Coturnix japonica: one gene and its partners. The protein of the gene in region 3 interacts with the protein of the main gene of each other region in a pairwise test. Links are inferred from orthologs where the notes say so. Each region holds a gene or a part of one and is shown on either strand. Other genes may lie near its edges. The genes, in order: FAM204A, BHLHE40, SMYD1 and ZBTB44.

Region 1 (5,750 bases), on a different chromosome or scaffold from region 3:
TACAAGGTAGATAGTATACTAACACAATGACTGTAATCTGCTAATACAATAAGGCCTTCCTATTATGATTAAACAAGTATTCAGTTCTTGATCATTTTGACATATTTCCAAAACACTGTCTCAAAAGGATAAAATGCAGCATATTTCCTTGCTTAAGGAAAAGGTCCTGATGTCCTCATTTCTTGCTAAAAACAAGAAACAGCTAATAGAGCATAATTTATGTTGTAGCAGATTCTATTTCCGTATTAGGAAACCATTTGCATATATTTTGTGGAAATAAGCATGTATATGATTACTTGTGATTAGTTAATCATGGCTTCAAGCATGCAGCTGAGAAAATAGTGTAGGCTTCCACTGTCCTGAAGTCCAATGATCTGAGCTCCAGCCAGTTTTATGGAGAGAGTTCCAACCTGAGAACTTGCCCTCGGGGACTACATGGCATCAGCTGCTCTTATATTTGGCAAATTTGATCACTGCTGTTAAAGTTAATAATTACATGAGTGTTTCAAAAAGAACCCAAAGAACAACCAGTCTTGTAGATCACAATCAGTGTTTTTTTACTCAGAAACTAGCAAAACACCACCCCTTCAGTGCTGCAACAGAACGTGTGAAAAATTCTATGTCGAATGTTTACAAATACTACTTTGTGTCTTAAATTTTATAGCTGAGGTGCCCCATTAAGAGCTGGTTTCCAATGTGTTCAGATGTATTATCTTGAGAAAACAGGAATATGAGGTTCTTGATGCATTTCAAACAGTCAAATTACACTTGATTTAATTGCATGTGCACATAATTGCAATAGCTCTTCCTTCAAGTAATTTTTAATAATAGCATCAAAAATACTAAGTCTAGGAGTTAGACTAGTTTGATGTTCCATAGGATTTTCAGAGGCATGACTTGTTTCATTCATAATAGTCATTATCAGCAGGTCCCCAGAGCAGGAATTCAAGTGAAGTTGGATCTGTTAATCAGAAGGAAATAAACCAGATAATGTGAATATTTGTTAAAGGACGAACAGAAAACTGGTTTGAGTTTAACCCTATAGCAAATTTTGGATACAATCAGTATCATACTTAGGGAAGTATGTTGGTGACAAGGCTGGGCTCCCTACTTGTTTTAACTCATTAAAGGACTCTGCACACATTGTTTCAGCCACAGCAGCAACAAAAGTAACGAAACCAAAAATGGGTAAGTTGCAAATTTTTGTTATTAAACAACTGTAGCTTCAGTAGCCACCCACCCTTTGAATGCAAGAGCTTCTGGGATGCTGAAAGTAAAGGGGGAAATCTATCAATGTTGTTTCTCTGTTTCTTTGGATACAAATTGTGACAAGATGAAACTTGTTCTTTGGAAACGTATCCCTTAAAATCAATACACAATAGCGATATATTTATATATCACCACTTATCTGTGTGCCAAATGGAACCAAGTATTAAACGTAAATAAAACAAATCTCTTTAAAAATCGATTTCCCAGATGAGAGGAAAAAAAACTAGTTAGCAAGCTGAGTGTGAAATTTACATGTGGTTCATGGCAAAGTGATTAATGACGGGATTAATTGATTTCAGAACTGAAACTGAGGATGTAATATCACGGTATAGAAAGGAAACACACTGAAAGATCTGTTATACAGCTATGGGGAAGGCATTTGTCTTCCTTTATCCCTATTTACACTGGAACTCCTCATATATCTGGGGACATAAGACCAATGTGAAGCTGCACGCCCGGCCCTGTTATCATACGGCTCATGGAGGCCGGGCTCAAGGCAGCAAAGCGCCCGCTAATTGGCTGAGGGGCAGCGTCCAATCAGAGGGCGGGGGTGTAACAGGGGTGCCAAGATGGCGGCCAGGTAAACACGCAGTGCTGTCTCAGCTGGTGATGTGGGTGCTGGGGTTGTTCGGGTCCTGGTTGTGCTGTTGGGTGTTTGTTTTTTTTCTCCTGTTCTTCTGTTTCTCTGCCCTGGAGCAGCACTTCTCCCTTCCTGGCTTGTTTATGGAGCGGTTTCTTCTCCCCGTCTTCCCGACAGCTCTGTCGGTGTGAGGGCTGTGTGTTCTCTGCTGCCCTGGGGAGGCGATGTTGATGTGTCATTCTTAACTGTAAATAAACCCGAAGTGAGAAAACTTTAAAGAATAAGGAAGAGGAAACAAAGCTTGTACTGCCTCTAATCGGTGTGCTTAAATCCTTTCTTAACTTCTCTTCTGAAGTTGTAAGTACTGACAGCTTTATAAAGATAGCGTGTAAAGCACCTCAGGAGTAAAGTAGCTCAGTATTTCTGTTATTATATTCTGGTGTTTCTGACTCTCTGTTGACTGACTGTGGTTTTTGTCTCACAACAGGTGTGCTCACGTGACTCCTGTGTTTATGCAGTAACTCCCAGTGCCTTGGCCTTGCACGAGGAAGATGTGGAGTGGGCTCTTACCTCCAGGACTGAGTGAAAGTGATGTTGACTTGAGCTCTGAGAATGAAGAGGAGTCATGTATCTCCTGTTTGAAGGATGAAGATATAAAGGAAGATACAGAAAGAGTTCAGCTGCCTGAATTGCAGGAGAATGGACCTGAAAGTAATACCAGCACTAAATCAGTTTTGATACCTGTGACAGATGGAGAAAACACATCTCAAACATGTCCTGATGGAGTACCTTTAAATATGTGGAATGTGGGTATTGTAACTTCAAATATCCAGAGGTTACTCGAATAGCTGCTTTTTAAATCTCAGCAACTCAAATTTGGATATTTTAGGTATACCAATACAAAATGAAATGCAGTAAAAGTGCTGTCACAATACTATACCTTAGATTGCTTCAGGTAGAGAGAACGTGAATTTAAACAGGAGGAAAAACAGGAAAACCTTGCATTATTTTCTTGTGCAGCACTGACTGAAAGCACAGCAAAGAAATGTTTGGGTAACTACTCAGTTGCATAATACTTGTGTTTCTGGTAGTATATGGGTGCTGATCTTCCTCAGTATTGATTTTTGTGTGTGAAAGGGTTTATAACTAAGCATGTTAGTGACTATACTAGTGATTTTTATCTGTGAAGTAGAGCTAAACCGTTCTGCTTTGCATAGGGGTTAGGTGCAGGTATCCAGACTCATAACTGCTTATAACCTCTCTTTATTTTTCTTGTGGCATTTAAAAACTCTCCTGATGTGCAAGGAATATACTGTCAGTAGTCTTAGATTCTAAACCACTGTCTGTGCAATAACAAACTGTTCTATAGCCTGGGAGTACACAACCAACAAAAGCATATTCAGCATCGTGCTCCTTGAGAAAACTATTTTGAATGTTCCTGGGACTTAGAGGGGATGGGGGGCAGAAAGTCAGTGGTACTGGTGGGAAAGTGTTAGAGCCAGTGGCAGTTTAACACCATCAGGGCTGGATGCTCTCAGTGCATAAGTCTGAATGTAATAGATACAGGAAGGTACTATGGGTAAGTGAGATATTGGGACAACATTTCTTAGTGTTCTGTGTAACTTTAAAAACAAACAAACAAACATTAAAAAATACTGATCCTTGCTTTTTCTTAATCTTGTAGAAGTTTTTGGAGCTTCAGAAGAAAAACCATGATATGAAAATGGAAGCAAAGCAGGGAAGCCAAGGCCGAAAAAGAAAGCGCCGCAGAAAAGGTGTTTTCCATAATTCCAGACCTTATTTTTTCCAAATGGAATAAGTGTTAAGTGCATTGGAAGTACATTTTTAGCTTTCATCAATAATTGAATGCCTGAATAGGTGTTGTCTGATATGTAGGATTTTCTTTTTCTAGTTGTTACACACCTGTTCTAGGCCTAGACTGTAAATTGCTACTTAAAGTTCAAGTAAAGCATTCCTCTTCTTTTTAAAGAGGGGGTAGAATTTATTCAGTCAGTACTGACTTAAACTAGCTGAGCATGTTTTCAGTCCATTATTTTATATGTTATTTTGTTCGTTCTGATCAAGGCTTCTTGACAGATATTGTAAGACGTTCTTCAAATGACAGGCCTGACAGCAGAGTAGTTTAATTCCCCCATAATCATTCTTTATAGATCCTCTTGTGACAGTCTTTCAATGGGGGCATCCTCTATTATGATCTGCTAACCTTATTGGATGCAATAGGGCATCACTGTAATATTGGGTTTTCTTTTTTTCATTTCTAGAAAAACGGGAAAAGGACAAAAATGAAGTGACTAAGAGGTATGAACCAGGTCAATGTGATTATATGAGGTCTGTTTTTAATATCAGGCAAAACTTGTAAGAAGTGTAGCCAGACACTCTTTGAACATTGTTATATTGTGTATGTACTCAAGTTGTTTGGTTGTATGTACTCAAGTCAAGTTGTACTACAGACTGAGTTGAATTCTAGTGATTTTTTGCTTGCTTACTGCTTGATTTAAAATAACAGAATAGTATTTTTTTAATGCAATTTAAAATTAATTTATTGTTCTTAGTGGTGTTTGTCATATAATTGCATACAAGCTTGCTTTCAAGATTGCAGCGTTGTGGCTACAGAAGAAAAGGAATAGCTTGCATTAAAAGATGTCAGGTGAAAAGAACGCATCTGCCAAATGGGAGAGTTTGTTTTAGTTTTGAAAAGAACGTTACAAGCTGTGGGAAACAAATTGGTTATATTAATGAGTTTTATTTTTTGGTTTTTAGTAGTCAGCAGTTGGCCAATGAAGAGCACTGGAAAGAACTTACACAGTACTTTGGAATCAATGATAGATTTGAATCACCTGTGGATAGCAGAACTCCACAAAAGGTGATTGTTGTTACAAAAGCTGTGTCATCATTTTTTTTGCTAGTAAAAGAAGGCTGTGCTAACTGAAATAACAGTAAAACTGAGTCTATTCAGAAGTAAGCATATGACCAAGTCAATAAAGAAGAATAATTTTGTGTGTATTTTTAAATGAATTCCCCTCTGGTGTCATGTAGGTTTTACTTGGGTTGAAAGGTTTCTAGACAATACTGGTGCCCTATTTCCTTCCTTGGTTTTATATTCTATTGTGATAAGAGAAAAAAGATTTGATATGCCTTGTTTGATTACAGTGACCTTTTACTGTGTTTTAACTTCAGAGTGTTCCAAGTCGGTCCATTGGTTGAGACCAGTAGCTCTTTTAATCAGGGGGTTGAATCTATCATAAAGTTTTACTGACTTTCCAACACACTTAGTTCACAACTGTTGCTGTGTAACTAGCCATATTTGGTATAACTGATTGAACATGACAGATGTGTGAGGAACTTGAAATGTGATGAGTTTGTTCTGTAGTTTAGCAGTAGTGGTCCCCTGTTACTTTTAAGACATCGAGTATTCAGGTGGCATCCTTTATCATGAACTTTCTGTTTTTCATTTGCTCAAAGTAAACTTCTGCATTGACACTGATATTGATCAGTTCTGCCTGAGTTCTGACTTCTGGTGGGCATTTACTTGTCATTAAATTGCTCAGTATAGATCTGGAATGAGGCCCGGAGTGTTAACATGCAGCTGTTCTCCATTTAAGTTGTGATTTAATTGCTAGAGGAACACGTCTCATTAATTTCAGAGAAGGCATCTGACAGTTGGCTTTTCAGTTGTGCACTCTATTAACTTTCATCTGAATAATTAAGTGTTCTGTTTCTCAATAATTGTTTGCTTTTCTATTTTTTATTTAAGAAAGTATTTATTATGAAACCAACAGAATGCTTAAATGCAGTGAGACTGTAAAACGTCTCTTGTGATTAATGAAGGAGTAGGGTTTTTTTTTTGTGAAATTCTGAAGTCAGTGCCAACTGCTGTGTT
Region 2 (5,748 bases), on a different chromosome or scaffold from region 3:
TAAGCCCCCAAAGTACCATCAGGGACAGCCAGACCCTATGGCCCAAGGCACCACGGGGACACCCAGACCCTCCACTGGGAACATCCAGACCCTCCACTGGGGACCTCCATACCTTACAGCTCAGAACCCCCAAAGTACCACCAGGATCACCCAGACCCTACAGCTCAGAGCCCCTAACGTACCACAGAGGGCATCCGTACCCTGCAGCAGGGCCATCCATACCTTCCACTGGGGACAATCTAGACCCTACAGACCCACATCTGCCTCTCGGGGTATTTTTTCACAGCTTTGACACATGGCAGCTGACTGAGCCAACCCGTTCTGTGGGTGAAGAGAGGGGGGTGGAAAGCATCGAGCTCTTTGCTTTGTCCTTTTGGAAGCAGCTCTGCACGGCCAAGCCAGGTGCCTCCTTCATCCTCCTGCACGTTCCCTGGCACAGAGGACAGGGACGTGGCTCCCTGCACGCCACGAGCCGTGGCCCACACCTCCCTCCAGCCAATGCATACAAGTGAAACGGTCTCAAACTGGAAAACAAAAAAAGACAACAAACCAAAACCCACGTCGCATTTAGTCTTTGGTTTCCAAGTTCAACGGGGGGATCTGCTTCAGTGCCTGCAGCAGGGCCGAGGAGTCGATGGGGGAGCGGGTGGGCCCCGGGGAGGGCAGTCTCTGGGGCAGCAGCAGTGGGGGGGACAGCTTGTCAGGGCCCACAAAGCCGGTGAGCGCAGCGGTGGGCGTGGGCAGCCCGGGGTACAGCACAGGGACGGAGGCCGGGTACCAGCACTTCTCCAGCATGGGCAGGTAGGCAGTGGCGGATGGTGGGATCAGGTAGAAGGGCAGGCACAAGGGGGGCTGGTGGGCGTGGGGGGGCAGGAAGCCGCCCGCAGTGCCCATCACCTCGTTGCCAAAGGGGCTGTCGTCATCAGGCACCTCCAGCCTGCTCCTCTTGGCCGGAGGGTCCTCGCTCTCTTGCTTGATGGAGCTGATCCTCTCCTGGACGGCGTATTTCAGTTCGGTATCCTTTGGGAAATAGGGCTGCTCCGGTTTGGAGTCGTTTTTCTCCAGCTCCCCCCCATAGCCGCTGTCCGTGTCTGTGTCGCTGCCGCTCTGCTCCCCGCTGGAGGCAGCGAATGTCCTTTGGATGACGGGCACACAGTTCTGCCCGCGCCCCTCGCCCGCTTTGCCCCCCGGCACCGTCTTCTCCTTCAGGTCCTTGGGGCTGCCCGGCAGCAGCTCGGCCGCCACGCGGTGCAGGTGCCCCACCAGCTGCGCTGCCTTCAGCTCCTTGTTGTCGTGCTTGGCCACGTACTGCAGCAGCTCCTTGGCGCACAGCTGGAAGCCAGAGCGGAACATCTCCTGGCTGGAGTCGAGGTTCCTCGCGGACAGGTCACCTGAGGAAACATTAACAGGGAGAAATTAAAAATTAACAGCACGCCAAATACTTCCATCACCACCTCCAGGCTGACAGCACGCGTCCGGTACAACACAGCCAGCACAGCAAACTCAGTGGCCAACCTGAGTTCCCACAACTTATGCGCCAGAATCCAACCTGCTACTTTCACATCCCTCCATTCACTTCTACCCGTGCCCTTCATCTTTCAATTCTGCATTTGGCACTTCCACTGGGGAACAAGCAGACAGTGCATCCCACACCCAGCAGGACCCCTCAATGCCACGCTGTGCCCCCACTGCCAATGGGTCTCCCCTGGTGCTGTCCCTGCAGGGCAGTGGCACCTCGTTGGCCAAGCTCAGTTTGACTTTATCAGAGCCATGTGAATGCCACGTGTGCAAGCAGCAGGAGGAAGCAGAGGGAGCGAGCAGCCACTGTGCTGAGCCCCGTCCACCTGCAGAATGAGGGAACACAGATCTGCACACGGACAGCGGGTGTTTGTGTGCTCTGGGGGAAAAGGAAAGCGCAGAACCAGGATCCAAAGCTCATGAATGGAGAGAGCTGAACGACTTTGGAGAGGGCATCACAGCAAAGCTGCGCTTTAAATAAAACTACTTCAAATCCACTTTAAAATGAAAGCGACCGCACAGCACGCCTGGCTCCGACCCCATGGAGAGCTGCACTTGCTCTGCACAAGCAAAGCGAGAGAAACTGATGGCAATCAAAGGGCAGAGGCTCAGGCATCCCTTCCCCGCGCAGTGTCCCCGCACGCTGCACTCACGCACCTGCCTGCAGCCCGCTCTGCAGCGCCAGGATCTTCTGCTGCTGCTGCTCCGTCAGCGCCGTCAGCGCCTTCAGGTGCTTCAGGGTCAGCTCCAGCACCACCGCCTTCTCCAGGTGACCGAGGGTCTGCGGGCAGAGCACACAACGCGTTGGACGCTGCGGGGGTGGGGGTGGAAATAGGCGCTGGGAGACATTCCCACGGCAAAGGTGGGGGCGATTTGGGGCAGGGACTCGGGGGCAGCGCTGCTAATTGGGGAAGGCACAAGTCGTGCTTCCTGTGAACAGAAATATCCGGAATTTGGACGGAACACACAGAGAGCAGCCGCGGGGCAGCCCCCGGCCCCACATCCCGGGGGTATTTGGGGACGCCCAACCCCGAGCACAGCTCCGTGCCTCGGCGCTGCTGCCCCCGCCGGCATCGCGCGCTCAACGCAGGGCCGGGCCCGGAGCCCCGTTGTGCCCGTACCGTCAGCTTGAGGTGCTCGGGCAGCAGGTCCTTGAGCTGGGCGATGCACTCGTTGATCCTGTCGCGGCGCTTCTTCTCTATCAGCCTGTGGGGCAGCTTGTAGGTATCCTGTAAGGAGCGGCGGGTCAGCGCTCCGCACCCACCCTCCGTCTTTTTGCCTTCTTTCCTTTTTTTCCCCCTTCCCAAATAATCGCTAAACCCACCACGCATTCCACCCTCTGTTCTTTTTTCCTTTTCCTTTTGCTTTCCCCCCCCCTCCCCACCCAAATACTCACGCACCCCCTCCGCCCCCCACCCCGCAGCATTTCTTTTTTATTTCCCCCAGAATTACCCAGTGGAGGCCCCTTCCCCCCTTCCCGCATCACCCCACAGAAGCTCAGCTCTCTTTCTCACTCCCCCCCATCCCAACGATCGCTGACCCCCGCCCCGCACCGCCCACCCCGTTACCTTGCTGTCCTCGCTCCTCTTTAACCCCCTCCTGGGCTTGTACACTTGGTACATGTGCGCGAAGTCCAGCCTGCACGGGCGAAACGAAAGCAGCGAGGTTACCCCTGTCCCCGGGGCCGCGGCGGGGGGACGCTCTCGTGTCGTCCTGTCCCCCCCGCAGCCTTACCCCGGCACATCGGCGCTCTCCAGGGCGGGCAGTTTGCCCAGGCACACGGGCGGGGGCTGCGCGCTGGGGATGCGCTCCATGGGGGCGCGGAGCGGAGCGGTGCCGCGGGAGCCGGGAGGAGCGGAGCGGTGCGGTGCGGTGCGGAGCTCAGCGCGGGCAGCTCATGCCGCGTCCCCGCCTCGCCGGCTGAGGAGCGGAGGGAGGCGGAGGGCCGGGTTAAATGCGGCCGAGTGGGTGGACGGCGGCGACGTGCGTTACCCTGTGACTCCCGGCACGTCTGGCCGGGCTCCCCCCCCCGCTCCCTCCCTCCCTCCATCGCCGTCACATGAGGCTCACGTGTCGGCGAGCGGCGGCCTTCCTCCCCCCGCCCGCTCCGCCGTGCAACGTGCCGGGGGGGGGTGGAGGCGGGGCGGCCGGTCCGTGGCCCCGGGTGGCCCCGACCCCGGTTGCTTCCCGGCCGCCCCTCGGGCTCTGCCCCGCCGTCCCGCAGCGGAGCGGGGCAGGAGCTCGGCACCCGACTCCCGTTCTTCAACACTCCCGCGGCGCGTCGGTAATCCCCGCTGCCGGAGCCCTTTGGCTGCTCCCTTCTCTCCGAGCCGTCCCGAGGCTCGGGGTTTACTCATGACCTTAAGGGATGTTGCCAAGGATTTTGGAGTCCCCCTAAAAAGAGGATCCGAGTGGAGCGATGGCATTCCTGGGCGGCAAGTGGGATGGCGGAGAGTTGGGTTACATTGTCCTCCCTATGATCAGCTTTCATAAGCTGGGGCTGATGCAATCAGCAATTTGTCTCCGAGATTTTGTTTGCTGAATTATTTCTGCGCAGAAATGCATACATACAGGGCGTACAGAATGCAGCAAAGAGGCCAAATTTCCTGCAGTCACGGGTCTGAGGTGCTGTCCCAGGAGAGGAGCAGACAGTGCCCAGCAGTGATCTGCACTTATCTACAGACCCCCCAGAAGCCAAGGGCTCGCAGTTCGGGCTCAAGTTGTACTGAGGGCTCGGAGATGGTGATTTGGGGCAAAACACTGTGAAATCCCAACAGCAGCATCGGATAGAGCCCGTGTGGGCAGCTCGGAGTTAGCAGCTGGGCTGCGGCTTCAGCCTCACGATAAGGTTACTGCGGGTGGTTTTGTTTTAAAATGTCCCTTACTTAATATATCCACGAAGGCCAGGCATGTGCCTGTGGCCTGGAATCAGATAGCTGACTCCTCTGCTCTCTCATTTCCAGCAATCTCGTTTTGGGTTACCAGCACCGGAGGTTAAAGGACGGCCGCAGGCGAAGGTTATGCAGGGCAGCAGCGCTTCGGCTCGGCACCCAGCGGGCACCCGATGGGCATCCCCAGAGCCCTCCTACTGAACACACCCCCACCCTCCCAGCAGCCTGCAGGTGGTGACCAAAGCTCGGACTGAGCCTTGAAAACACACTGCCCAGAGCTGTGGTGCCCCATCCCTGGAGGTGCCCAAGACCATGGGTGGGCCCTGGGCAGCTTGAGCTGGGGGGCAGCCAGCCTGTGGCAGGGGTGGGGGCTGGGTGACCTGTATGGTTCCATCCAACCCAACCATTGCATTAATCTGTGATGGTGTCGGGGTACCCATTGGGAAAAGCAGTGAGAGCCAATGGCACTGAGGGTCTGCTATGAGCAGGGTGCTGGCACTGCATGGTGAGAGCCTGCAGCCCATCAGCCATGAGCTCTCTTCTGACCGAGCATGGGGATGTTTGCCAGCACCCAGCACAGCAGTGGGAGGAACACGTGGGCAGGAACTATTTGGAAGTGGCAAAATTTGTGGACATAACAATTTGTAATAAGAGACCTTATCCCACTTTAAGGCTCTGTTTAATGAAATCTCCCCACTGTGCCGTGACAGCCGCCCTGCCCATGCGCTCGCTGCTAACCAGGTCCCTGCTTGCACCATCGCTTGGAAAAACACCCCCGGCTCTGTGCTGCCAGCGGGACCTCGAGTGCCCCCAGCCCTGGTGTGAAGGGCTGCCCCCAGTCCCATGGCCATGCATTGGGGGCTGCCGAGTGCTGCTCCTGTGTACCCGTGAGGGCTTTGCACAAAGGTATCAGATCCCCACACAGCTCTGCCCAACATCAAGCAGTGAGTCAGCCCCGGGCCGTCAGATGTCTGTGCTTCAGCTCTCAGATCTGCAGAGCGGGGAGCACGGCGCTCTGCAGGTATGCAAAGCAGAGTGAGGTGCCTTCAGATCTCTGGCTCAGAAAGCACCGCACCACCCAACTGCAGAGCTGTTTATTTTTCCCTGGTATCTGAGTGCCCGGGTGAGAATCAATAGCAGGGAGGTCTGCTCTCCCTGCAGGGCACAGGGAGCAGTGGCTGCAGTGACACAGTGCGTTTCTTTCCTACCTGGATATAAACAATTCCTTCTCATACCAATAAAACCCCAAACCAAGCAGGCATGAGAAAGGAGCAGGAGCTCATTACACATGGTTCGACTCGGGGCACAGCTAGGTCAGAGGGACCCTCCACCCCCTGCT
Region 3 (5,099 bases):
TCCCCCTTGCTGTTGAGCCTGGATGGAGGCAGAGAAGTGTGCAGCTGCTGATGCCAGACTAAACAGAGCAGAACACATCCCTACATCAGGCACTGCCCGTGTTACTTTGCTGTTTAATGGCACCCCCATGGGTGCCATGTTCTGGAACAAGCATTCAATCATCAGTATTCTCAGCTCAGCACCATATTGTCATTTTGAGTATGAAAACCCTCTTGGATTTATGAATAACATCTTACAGTGTTCATAAACACAAATACTGCTTCCTAAACTTGGTATTACAGTCAGTCTGCCCCTTGTCCTACCCCAGACAATGCTCCATGAGCGCTTCTGAGTTCAGCTTTCTTCTGTTTTCAACTACTTGGTGTTGCTTGCCTGTCCCTGGGGCAGCTGAAATTGCGTACAAGCCTGGGTAGTTGTGCTTGGGGTTGGCTGAATGGGTTCCTCAGCCCTTTGTCCCTTTGTCCATCCTAAGCATCTTCCTGGAATCCTTGGGATCAGGAGAGCCCCAAAGCCACCCAGACTGGTATTGCCTGGTGTTAGACAGCCAAGAGACTGGTGAAGGGAGGAGAAGACATACAAGAAAAGACTTTATGATGAGGACACCTACTTTTGAAGGAGGCTGTTTTCTTGGACTTCTTATGTCATTTCCAACACAATACCAGGTGCAGGTCTCTCAAATATAGATGCAGTTCAGGTCCAGAGGCAGAAAGAATTGTCAAGCAAATCTGCTTTTCATAGAAAAATAGCTTGGTTTCAAGCAGCACAAACACAGGATTTCCCAATATAACCACCTCTATCTGTCAGTCATCATTATCAGAGCATTTCTGATGTGTATTTTTATCCCTACAGTATGACTGTGCCTAAATAAAGCTTGAGATAGCAGCTAGGACCACACAGACTCATTAGATGTCTGCTTTCAGCTTAGCATGGGCCAGGCAGAAAACAAAGCCAGACTGAAAATCCTGTTAACAGTAGCGGTGCTGAGGAGGAGCAGACAAGCAGCAGAAAAGAGGGCTGAGAGCTGGGGAATGCTTTATTGCTTTCCTCCTTTAAACAAAATATTTGTCTCTTTGGCATAGCCAAATAGGGAAGCAACAGAATCAGACAAGTGCATGAGGATTAAGCTAGGTGAGATGTTTATCTGTCCTCCCAAAATGTCTGAGGTTCCATCATACTGTGCAGGAGGAGCCCATAGGCAGAAAGCTGAAAGGAGTTGACCCATTACCCTCAGTAAGTTTGCAGATGACACCAAGTTTAGAGGAAGCATCAGTCGGTCTGAAGGTAGGAAAGCCCTGCAGGGGGACCTGGGTAGTCTGGATCACTCGGCTGAGGCCAGTTGTATGAGGTTCAGTAAGACCAAGAGCTGTGTCCTGCCCTTTGGTCACAACAGCCCCATGCAATGCTACAGGCTTGGGGCAGAGTGGCTTGAAGGCTGTGCAAAAGAGAAGAACCTGAGGGTGCTGGTCAACAGCCAGCTGAACATGAGCCAGCAGTGTGTCCAGGTGGCCAAGAAGGTCAATGGCTTGTATCAGAATTAGTGCAGCCAGCCAGGGCAAGGGTGATCGTCCCCCAGTATATGACCCTGGTAAGGCCACATCTCAAGTTTAGTTCAGTTTTGGGCCCCTCACTACCAAAAAGACATTTGCCCATAGAAAGTCAATGAAGCTGTGAGGGATCTGGAGTACAAGTCTAATGGGGAATGGCTGAGAGAACTGGGATGGTTCAGTCTGGAGAAGAGGAGGCTCAGGGGAGACGTTATTGCTCTGCAATTCCCTGAAAGAAGGTTGTGATGAGGTGGGGGTCAGCCTTTTCTCTCAGGTAACAGTGATAAGGTGAGAGGTAATGGCCTCAAGTAGTGCCAGAGGAGGTTCAGGTTGGTTATTAGAAAATATTTATTCTCTGAAAGAGTGGTAATGCATTTGCACAGGCTGCCCAGTGAGATGGTGGAGTCACTGTACTGTCCAAGAACTGTGTAGATGTGGCACTGAGGGACATGGGTTAGTGGACATGGTGGGGATGGGTTGGAGTTGGACATGGTGATCTTAAAAGTCTGTTCCAACCTTAATGATTCTATGACTCTATGATCCTGTCACTGAGGCATAAGCCTGCACGTCTTTCTGTCCTTCCAGCCTGACACATGTAGTCTGCCACACCTGCTTCAAACGGCAGGAGAGGCTCCATCGCTGCGGCCAGTGCAAGTTTGCCTACTACTGCGACCGGACCTGCCAGAGAGATGCCTGGCTGAACCACAAAAATGAGTGCTCTGCCATCAAGAAGCATGGCAAGGCACCCACCGAGAACATCAGGTGAGAGTGGGCCCTGAGGGACTGGCTGTCTGGTGCACCACCAGGCTGGGAAATCATGGGGGAGGACAGGAAATCCCTCTGGGGATGGTGAGAGAGAGCTGGGTGTCCCAAGTTGGATGTGTGGTATTGGAAACTGGTTTGGGAAGGCCACAAAGATCCCTGAGCTCATGGGTTGGGGCTTGGAGGAATGTCCACAGTGTGAGGGGGTTGTGTTCCTGCTTTTATTTGGTCCTAGACACCCAAAACCCTACAGCAGCTGAATGAGGTGAGGAAAAGCCACCTTGTGCAATTTCAGTGGGAAAAACAGGGATGCTCCAGTACGTATTGATTTTGATTCATTTCCTGGCTCCATAGTGAGAAAATGATAGGAATCCCCACAGAAATGGAAGTAGCTGTCTAGGGCTGGGGTTCTGTAAGACTTCTCCAGATAAGAACATATATGCCATGATGGGAAACCCCTGTGGCTTCCTTCCCTTCAAAACTCATGGATGGGGACCAGCCATGAACTTGTCATGTATGGCCAGGCTGCACACAGTGTCCCACCCGTAAATGAATTTTTGTGGCCTCTCAGTCCCCTTCCTTGTGCTGGGTGGAGGAACACCAGAACCTGAGTAGATGAGCACCAGGGTCTGTTGTTGCATGGTGCTAGCACCTTGGGCTTTCTCCTGGCCAGGCTGGCAGCACGGATCCTGTGGCGGATAGAGAGAGAAGGCAGTGGGCTGTCAGAGAACTGCCTGGTCTCTATTGACGACCTGCAAAACCATGTGGAGAGCTTTGATGAGGAGGAGAAGAAGGACCTCCGTGTTGATGTGGAAAACTTCCTGGAGTTCTGGCCAGCCCAGAGCCAACAGTTTGGCATGCAGTACATCTCCCACATATTTGGAGTGGTATGTCAAAGATTTCATAATACCCTTTCCTAAAATATTAACTATACATTTTTGTGGTGCAAAGAGAGAAATTCTGTGAGGCTGAGCAGCTCTGCCTCCAGCCCTGCTGTGAGTCAGTGCGTGTCAGGCTTCATTAACCCCATGGGTCATCAGCTTCCCCCAGGGACACACAGCATCCCAGTGGACAAATCCACTGGGCACAGGGAGAAATCCATACAAGAGACCAGTGCACCTTCACCACATATCATTTCTGGAATTACCTTCTATGATAATCTTGTAGGCACTCCTCCTTCCTTGTTAAAGTTTGGAGGTGGGATACTTGGTGGGAGGTTTGGAGGTTATACTAATAGCTGAATTCAGCCATTTCTCCTTTCATGCTTCTTCCTGCCTGTTTTTTGGGACTAGATCAACTGCAATGCCTTTACCCTCAGTGACCAAAGAGGACTGCAAGCTGTTGGCGTGGGAATCTTCCCCAACCTCTGCCAGGCCAACCATGACTGCTGGCCCAACTGCACTGTCATCTTCAACAATGGCAAGTGAGTGCATTGCTTTCCTCAAGTATAGTGGGCATCTATCCTAACAGCCAACGCACAAAGCAGATTGCTAACCTCAGAGTGTCAGATCCCTGTCCCAGAAAATCGATTCACTTCCTTCTCTAGTCCAGAAACAAAAAGCTAGGATTTTCTTTTTAAAGAAGAGCTGTTTTTTTTTCTCTTATTATTTAAAAAAATGCTGTCTGATAGACCCAACAGAGCTTTTCAGCAGGGCTTGACCTCAAATCCAGTGAACCAGCAAGTAGTTTTCCCTTGTGAGTTTTGAAATCAGACTCAAAATAGACAGATAGAGTGGCAAGTAGCTACCTAGATAGTTTCAATTAAGGCTTCATAAGCAGTTAAGGAATACTCACAGTTAATGAATTATTAAAGATTAAATTGAGTCCACAGTCCAAGAGTTCCTCATTACTGAAGCTTTCAATCAGCCATGTATCACTATCATTGATGTGTTTATGGCCATTCCTGACACAAACCCTCATTTCTTTGGGAACGTGCAGTCTCTATTAATTACTGATAAACTCTTTAGCAATAGGTTCTTAATGAGAAATGTGACTGTAATCTGCAAACTGAGTCACATGTTAGTGCTGGATGCCCTAGCGTGCTGTGCATTCCAATTTCCCACCCAAATCCTGCAAGAAAATGTCTGCAGGATGTGTGAGATAGGAAGAGCTTGAAAGGCACAGTGGGATTGCAGGGATGTCCCAGCAGAGCAGGCAGTTTAGGCAGCTGCTCTCACACAGCCACCGGAGGGATACTCTGCCCTCCACCCCCTCCTAAGCCAGGAGGAGCCTAAACTGCTGCCGATCCATCAAGCAGCACCGTGTGCATGACATCAACTGCAGGAAACTGCTTGCCAAAAACTCCACAGCCACAGTGTTTTATCAATGTTTTCTGCTCAGTCTTAAGATTTTATACATTCCTATGTTCAACAAACTTCAGTGCTGAGCCTAAGGTAAGCCCACAGCCTCCTCTCCTTTAACTAACACGTTGCTTGTGCACTCCAGTTCTCACTGCCAGTTTTACCTGTTAAAATGATGCCGGTATTTATCAAGCAGCTGTGGAATGAACAAAAAGAAAAGTGCTTTGGGATGGTTACCTTTGTCATCCAGAAGCAGCTGGAGCCTAGGCTTTAAAGCCAGTTGCCCTGGATCACATATGGGGTGATGGGGAGCCTCTCTGACCAGCCTGGGTGCTGGAGAAGGTAACTGGCAGAGGTAGCAGCCCCCAAACTTCAGTTTCTGGGCGGTAAGTAGAGGAATGACATTTTGCTTGCGTGGCAGCCTGATGAATTTCCTGCGTTAATCCTCGTGATGGCTTTAAACCATGACCATCTGCTTACATTAGCAAATTGG
Region 4 (5,719 bases), on a different chromosome or scaffold from region 3:
ATCTTTGTGTTTGAGGGCAACTCTGGTTGTGACTCTGCCTTTACCTCTTCAATAAAGGGTTTCCTGCCTATCGCCTCTTGGCTTTTATTAATGCTTTTCTCAGGTTGTTTTCTAGTTCCCTTTCCAGCAGCTGAACAAAGGGTGAATTTGTTTTTAAGGTGCTAAAGCGTGGGCAGCAATACAGCACCCTGGGATGCGTCACACCGATGGACACCGCTGCATCCTGCCCAGGGCCCCCAGCACTGTGCTCTGGGACCTCCTGCTGCAAAACAGGCGGAAGCAACGAGCAAAGCTGTGCCAGCAGCACATTTCTTTTTGCAGCGGTAGCAATCAACGTGCTGCTGGTGGCTTCCTGGTGGGACAGTTCCTGTGCGTGCGCTCCGAGCTGGACTTTTGCACGCTCCCAAAGTCAGATGTTCCCAATCCCCCAAGGTTTCAGCAGCAGGAAGAGCAGTGCTGCCCCAAAGGAAGCTGTGCCGGATGGCTGAGCTCTGCAGGAGTTGCTCTTGCAGAGCGCTTTAAGGCTGTTTTCCTTTGCTCCATTTGCAAACATGATACACCCCCAGCTGTGCGCTTTTTGGAGCAGAATTTGGAGGGTGAGCATTCTTCCTTGCCTTGCAAATTACCTCTTATTTGTCAGCTGAAAAAAAAGTGAGAACAATCTTTGCACGCACACTCACACACACTATTTGCTTCACTTGATGCTATTTCACCCCAGTTTTTCACCAAAGCAATCTGCAGAGAGCAATGCATCATGCTCACCATGCAGCTACGTGCAAATGCAAAGCCAAGGGAAGGAAAAGGAGAAACTGAAGCAGCAGTGAGTGCAATCTTGCAGCACACTGGGGTTCCCATCTCCCTCTGGTTTTGCAAGAAAACAGTCATGAAACATCCCCAGGGGGGTTCTTTTACATTGCAGGGAGCTGGGAGCACCGTGCTGCTTTTCAAATCCATTTTATGCTGCAATTTGCAGTGCACTCAGTGGGATGAGGGCTGGGGGGGTGCATCAGCGTGGTGTGCACTGTGCATGGTGTGTGTGCACTGTGCATGGTTTGCATGCACTCATGCAGTGTGCACAACCCTGGGTGTGCATGCACTGGGGTGTGCAGCATGCACAGTGCTGGTTTATCCATGCATGCATGCACAGTGCTGGTTTGTGTATGCAGTGCTGCTTTATCCATGCAAGCATGCACAGTGCTGGCTTATGTATGCACAGTGCTAGTTTATCCATGCACAGTGCTGCCTTGTCCATGCACAGTGCTGGCTTATGTATGCACAGTGCTGCTTTATGCATGCAAAGTGCTGGTTTATGCATGCACAGTGCTGCTTTACCCATGCACAGTGCTGCTTTATCCATGCACAGTGCTGCTTTATCCATGCACAGTGCTGCTTTACCCATGCACAGTGCTGCTTTATCCATGCACAGTGCTGCTTTATCCATGCATGCATGCACAGTACTGGTTTCTCCATGCACAGTGCTGGTTTATGCATGCACAGTGCTGCTTTACCCATGCACAGTGCTGCTCTACCCATGCATGCATGCACTGCTGTGGCCGGTATATGCATTTAGTCCCTTCGCGCACGCACTGAGGCGCTTTGTGTGCACACTCCTAATCAGTGCATGCACCCTGACCTCTATGTGCACCCCATGCCTTCAGGTGCACGGTCCCACCTCAATACCCCACATCCACACCTCCACCCCATACACACACATGCATTATTACACACATTATAACCCCCAATGCACATCCCACCCGCTGCTCCCGCTGTGCCGCTCACTGCGCACGCGCACTCCGCTCTCCCCGCCCCCCTTTACGCCCCGCCCCGTATCGCGCTGCACTGTGGGACACAAACAAAGTGCCCGGCCGGGCGGCGCGGGCAGCTCGTCGCTCGGAGCCGTCCCGCTGAGCCGCCCCTCCCCTCCCTTCTCCTCCTCCCTTCATCCCTTCCCCTCCTTCCCCTTATTGAGCCGCCGACCCCCTCACCCTGGGGGCTGCTCATCGCCCCGCCAGCTCCGCGCCTGAGGGGGAGGCGGCGGCTGCTGCTGTGGTGTTGGTGGTGGTGGCGGTGGCAGCGGCCTCTGCTCCTCCTCCGCCTCCCAACGCCATGGCCCGGCCAGCACCGAGATAGGGGGCTCGGCCCGGCGTTAGAGCGCAGGTAAGGCCCTGAGGGAGAACGGGGGAGTGTGGGGGGGTAAAGCTGCCCTAGGGACCCTCTGTGCCCTGTGGGCCCGACCCCTTGTGCCTCTGTGATGCCCCCTGTTGCGGTGCCGGCAGCCCGCGGCCTGTTGTTGCTCCCCCCCACCCGCCGTTGTCCATCTGCCGGGGGGTGCTGGGCTCAGCTGGGCTCAGCTGTGCCGTGTGTGTGGGTTGTGATGTGGGTTGTGAGCGGATCGACGTAAACATTGGCACATGGGGATGCGCAGGGGGAGAGGGGCTGCTCTGGGGCTCGGCTCTCGTGTATGAGCTGCCTAAGTGGGCATCCTGCTGCCTTCAGCAGCCCCTTGTGCTTCTTAACGGGTATAGGTGTGCTGGGCTGATGCAGCCTATGAAGTATGACCACCCCATGGGGCTTTATCCTGTGCCCTGAAGCCTCTGAGCCACCCTAATAGAGCAGCACGCTCCTTCCTCCAGATCTACGAGGCAGCTCCTCCATCTCCTTGCACTGTGAGGTTACCTGTCTGCTAGGCCTTCTGTGGTTATCCCATTGACTGTCTACCAAGAGCTGGTTATCCCACTGACCAAGAGCCCCACATGCATTTACACACCGTGATGTTTTGCCCTCAGCCCTTTGGATATGAGGCATTTCTCCTGCAGGTTCCCAAGGAGGAGCTTTCTGCTTACTGTCCCACCTGATCCCATAGACACCTCATGGTGCCTGCTCCCACGTGTGGTACTCATTGCTATATGTGCCATAGGGGTCACCCAGCTGTGCCCTGCAATTTGTGGCTGCCTTTAGGTTGCTTTTCTATTTGGAATTACTATGTGTGTTCCCATAGCATCTGCAGGTTTCAAGTTGGACATAGCTGGTCTGAAACGCACTGGATTTCTCTTCTCTAGTCATACATGTAACTCGAAAGTCTCCTGATTTCTGTCCACCTCTTGTTCCCATTCACTCAGGAATCTTTCTCACGTGTTTCCAGTAGTCTCTAGCATTCACTCTTTTCCTCACACGAAGCCCTAGGTTTGCCCTATTATCACGAGGGGAATTTCTCAGCTTTGCTATTTACGTGTTTGCTCGTGTTCTCTCCCTTCTTTTCCCTGGCTTCTCTTTAGGTGGAGGTCACCCAGCCCACCTGCTGAGCTGACCTCTGGTTTCTAGCATCACGCTGTTGTACACGGAGTGACGTGGGACTGCTCTGTGAACCCTGCAAGGTGATACTGGGTGGGAATGGCTGGCACAGGCTGCTGTCCAGGAGTCTCGTGGGGCATTTCACATGTGCCATTGAGCTCTCCTGTTGCATCTCGATATCCACGTGTAATGCAGATCCAAGGCGTGATGTGCCTGGAGAGCTTGCTTGGCTCTGAATGAATCTATGTAAGAAAGAGCAGAAGTGTTAACCTGCTAGCTAACATACAGCTCTACCAATCTAAATACTTCCATTGATGTAAAGCTGTTTATACCAGAAACTAGTTAGAACACTGTAAGCGTGTCTCCCTGGGGACTTCTTCTGTTTAAACAGCTGGTTTTAATCTGCAGCTCTTAATTGGTGTGAACACTCCAAGAGATCCCTTTCCAAGGGAGGGGAATTTCCAGCCCTTGTTTTTGGCTCCCCAGGTGGATGCTGGTTGTGTGGATGCTCACCTGTGAGGTGGAGGGATCGCTTTTGTTTTCCCACACAGAAGGTTTTGCATTGTTGGGGCTTTTTGTTGTTGCTCTTGTTTTTTAACAGGGTGAGAGAATTCCTCTTTTTGTGGGTGTCAAGTTTAGGGGGAGGAGTGTCTTCATGTCTTTCTTCTGTAGCATGTAAGAGAAGTAGTTAGCAAGTGAAATTGAACCCTCTCCATTGCTTTTTGCAACAGGAGGTTCATCATAAACTGGCAACTTTGAAAGGGGTGATTCCTTTCACTGGTGTCTGTAGCATCTGCTCAGCTGTTTGCTAGGAGGGGCGAAAGAAAATACAGCTTCCTCTGTGTGTGAAGCTGAACAAGTGCCCAAATGTTATTTCTGGAGGCTTTTTATGTTCGTGTCCTTCTCCTGAATGGATGTGTGATGCCTGGTGGAAGATGGATGGTGCTCGTGTGAGCTCACATGTCCCTGGCAGAGAAGGAGGCAGAGAGGAGGCCTCAGGTCCTTTGCACTAGTGTTGCTTTCTGCACATCTGATGGAGTCTGTTACGTGTGTAAACTTATTTCTTTATAATCTTTGAGAACATTTGGGTTTATTTCTACAGGAAGATGTGGTGATAAATGTAACAGCTCCTGAAGGCATTGTAGTTCAGTAGCTGAAAGAGGAAAACCGAACCGTGACAGATCGGTGAGTGATGCTGTTGCTGCCGGTGTGTGATGAGGAAGGAGATGGCCCTTGATGTAGAAGGGATTGTCTGTTGACATACTTCTATCTCGCCCGGTTGTAAGTAGGTTATTCCTGTTCAAATTATGCAACTGTGCAGACAGCCAGACTTCAGGAATTCCAAATACTTCAATGTGTCAAGTGCCGACTTCTAAATTAAATGCTACGGTTGCGGAGCTGTTCACAGTCTGTCGCTTGAATTATGACATCAGTCTTGGGATTGTCTCACTGAAAAGGGGCAGCGATTTAATTACTTCCCTTTCAGAAAGTGTTCGATTTCAGGAGTCAAACTAGATGGGAGATGTGCCTTCTGTGGCACTATTGCAGTAGTCAGCGATTGCTATTTTGGCAGTTTGAAGCAGGAAAATAATACTGGAAATGGTGGTTTACATAAGATTTTTAAGGCAGCTCCTTGTTGCTGCGGTGGATGCTGTTATTGCTTTGAAAGATGCAGTTTTTAGCCAATAGATCCAATTAAATAGTTGTGTACTTACTGCTATGTAAACACAGGAGCCCATTACTCTCAGCTTGCTTTGGAGTTCCAATTGATTCTTCTAATGGTTTCACAGGATGAAAACAAATGTCTGTGGAAGGTGCACAAATAAAATGGTGGTGGTAGGGAATGAACTGCAACCTGGTAACATGGCATTTGTGTGGATGGATGGAAAGGGTGAACTGTGAAGGCTGGGAATTTCATTTAATTCTCTCCTATTTAGTCAACTTAAGGAAGTGACTTAAGCTATACTTAATTTGCAGATAGTGGTTTTTAATATATTACATCGTAGAGCTGGGGAAATAAACCTGTTCATGTGAAATAATGATCCGAACATGTGAATGATGGGATAATGAGATCTGCGGAGTGTGTGTGCGGAGCTTGGCATGTGGTCTGTGACAGTGGCCAGAAGTAAATCATTAGGGGAAAGAAGCAGAGCAGGCAGCTGATGTTACTGATGGCTCTTCGGGTGGCTGCCAGCAGCCAGGGATGGCCTGAGCCATTTGGGCTGTGCAGGCAGTTGTGGGTAACGATGCCTGCTGGTGCATTTGTCAGCTGTGGATTTGCCTGAGCCTTTAGAGCAGTTTATACCTTTAGCTTCTACCTTATGCTATGCAATGAATTCCACAACTTAGGCAAAAATATTTCCTGTGTGTGGTCATTTCATTGAGCACCTCCTAGATTGTGTAGCAGGAGAAAGAATAAAGAACCCTT

Evidence for each region.
Region 1: the proteins of SMYD1 (region 3) and FAM204A interact in binary tests that used the Homo sapiens proteins (3 or more experiments, as listed by UniProt). The link is inferred for Coturnix japonica from reciprocal best matches to the Homo sapiens genes SMYD1 and FAM204A.
Region 2: the proteins of SMYD1 (region 3) and BHLHE40 interact in binary tests that used the Homo sapiens proteins (3 or more experiments, as listed by UniProt). The link is inferred for Coturnix japonica from reciprocal best matches to the Homo sapiens genes SMYD1 and BHLHE40.
Region 4: the proteins of SMYD1 (region 3) and ZBTB44 interact in binary tests that used the Homo sapiens proteins (3 or more experiments, as listed by UniProt). The link is inferred for Coturnix japonica from reciprocal best matches to the Homo sapiens genes SMYD1 and ZBTB44.

The regions. Positions count from the first base shown.
Region 1 is NC_029521.1:26,437,280-26,443,029, reverse strand, and holds the start of FAM204A (protein FAM204A), read left to right. Parts: upstream 1-1,805; 5' UTR 1,806-1,849; intron 1,850-2,076; exon of another isoform or gene 2,077-2,206; intron 2,207-2,336; 5' UTR 2,337-2,400; coding exon 2,401-2,655; intron 2,656-3,533; coding exon 3,534-3,624; intron 3,625-4,131; coding exon 4,132-4,168; intron 4,169-4,630; coding exon 4,631-4,733; intron 4,734-5,750.
Region 2 is NC_029527.1:15,936,778-15,942,525, reverse strand, and holds the start of BHLHE40 (class E basic helix-loop-helix protein 40), read right to left. Parts: upstream 3,594-5,748; 5' UTR 3,333-3,593; coding exon 3,253-3,332; intron 3,157-3,252; coding exon 3,087-3,156; intron 2,748-3,086; coding exon 2,640-2,747; intron 2,300-2,639; coding exon 2,176-2,299; intron 1,392-2,175; coding exon 568-1,391; 3' UTR 1-567. UniProt on the Homo sapiens protein: Transcriptional repressor involved in the regulation of the circadian rhythm by negatively regulating the activity of the clock genes and clock-controlled genes.
Region 3 is NC_029519.1:77,831,186-77,836,284, forward strand, and holds part of SMYD1 (histone-lysine N-methyltransferase SMYD1), read left to right. Parts: intron 1-1,642; exon of another isoform or gene 1,643-1,789; coding exon of another isoform or gene 1,790-1,818; intron 1,819-2,129; coding exon 2,130-2,306; intron 2,307-2,979; coding exon 2,980-3,193; intron 3,194-3,598; coding exon 3,599-3,729; intron 3,730-5,099. UniProt on the Homo sapiens protein: Methylates histone H3 at 'Lys-4' (H3K4me), seems able to perform both mono-, di-, and trimethylation. Acts as a transcriptional repressor. Essential for cardiomyocyte differentiation and cardiac morphogenesis.
Region 4 is NC_029539.1:1,351,197-1,356,915, reverse strand, and holds the start of ZBTB44 (zinc finger and BTB domain-containing protein 44), read left to right. Parts: upstream 1-1,830; 5' UTR 1,831-2,157; intron 2,158-4,393; exon of another isoform or gene 4,394-4,476; intron 4,477-5,719. UniProt on the Homo sapiens protein: May be involved in transcriptional regulation.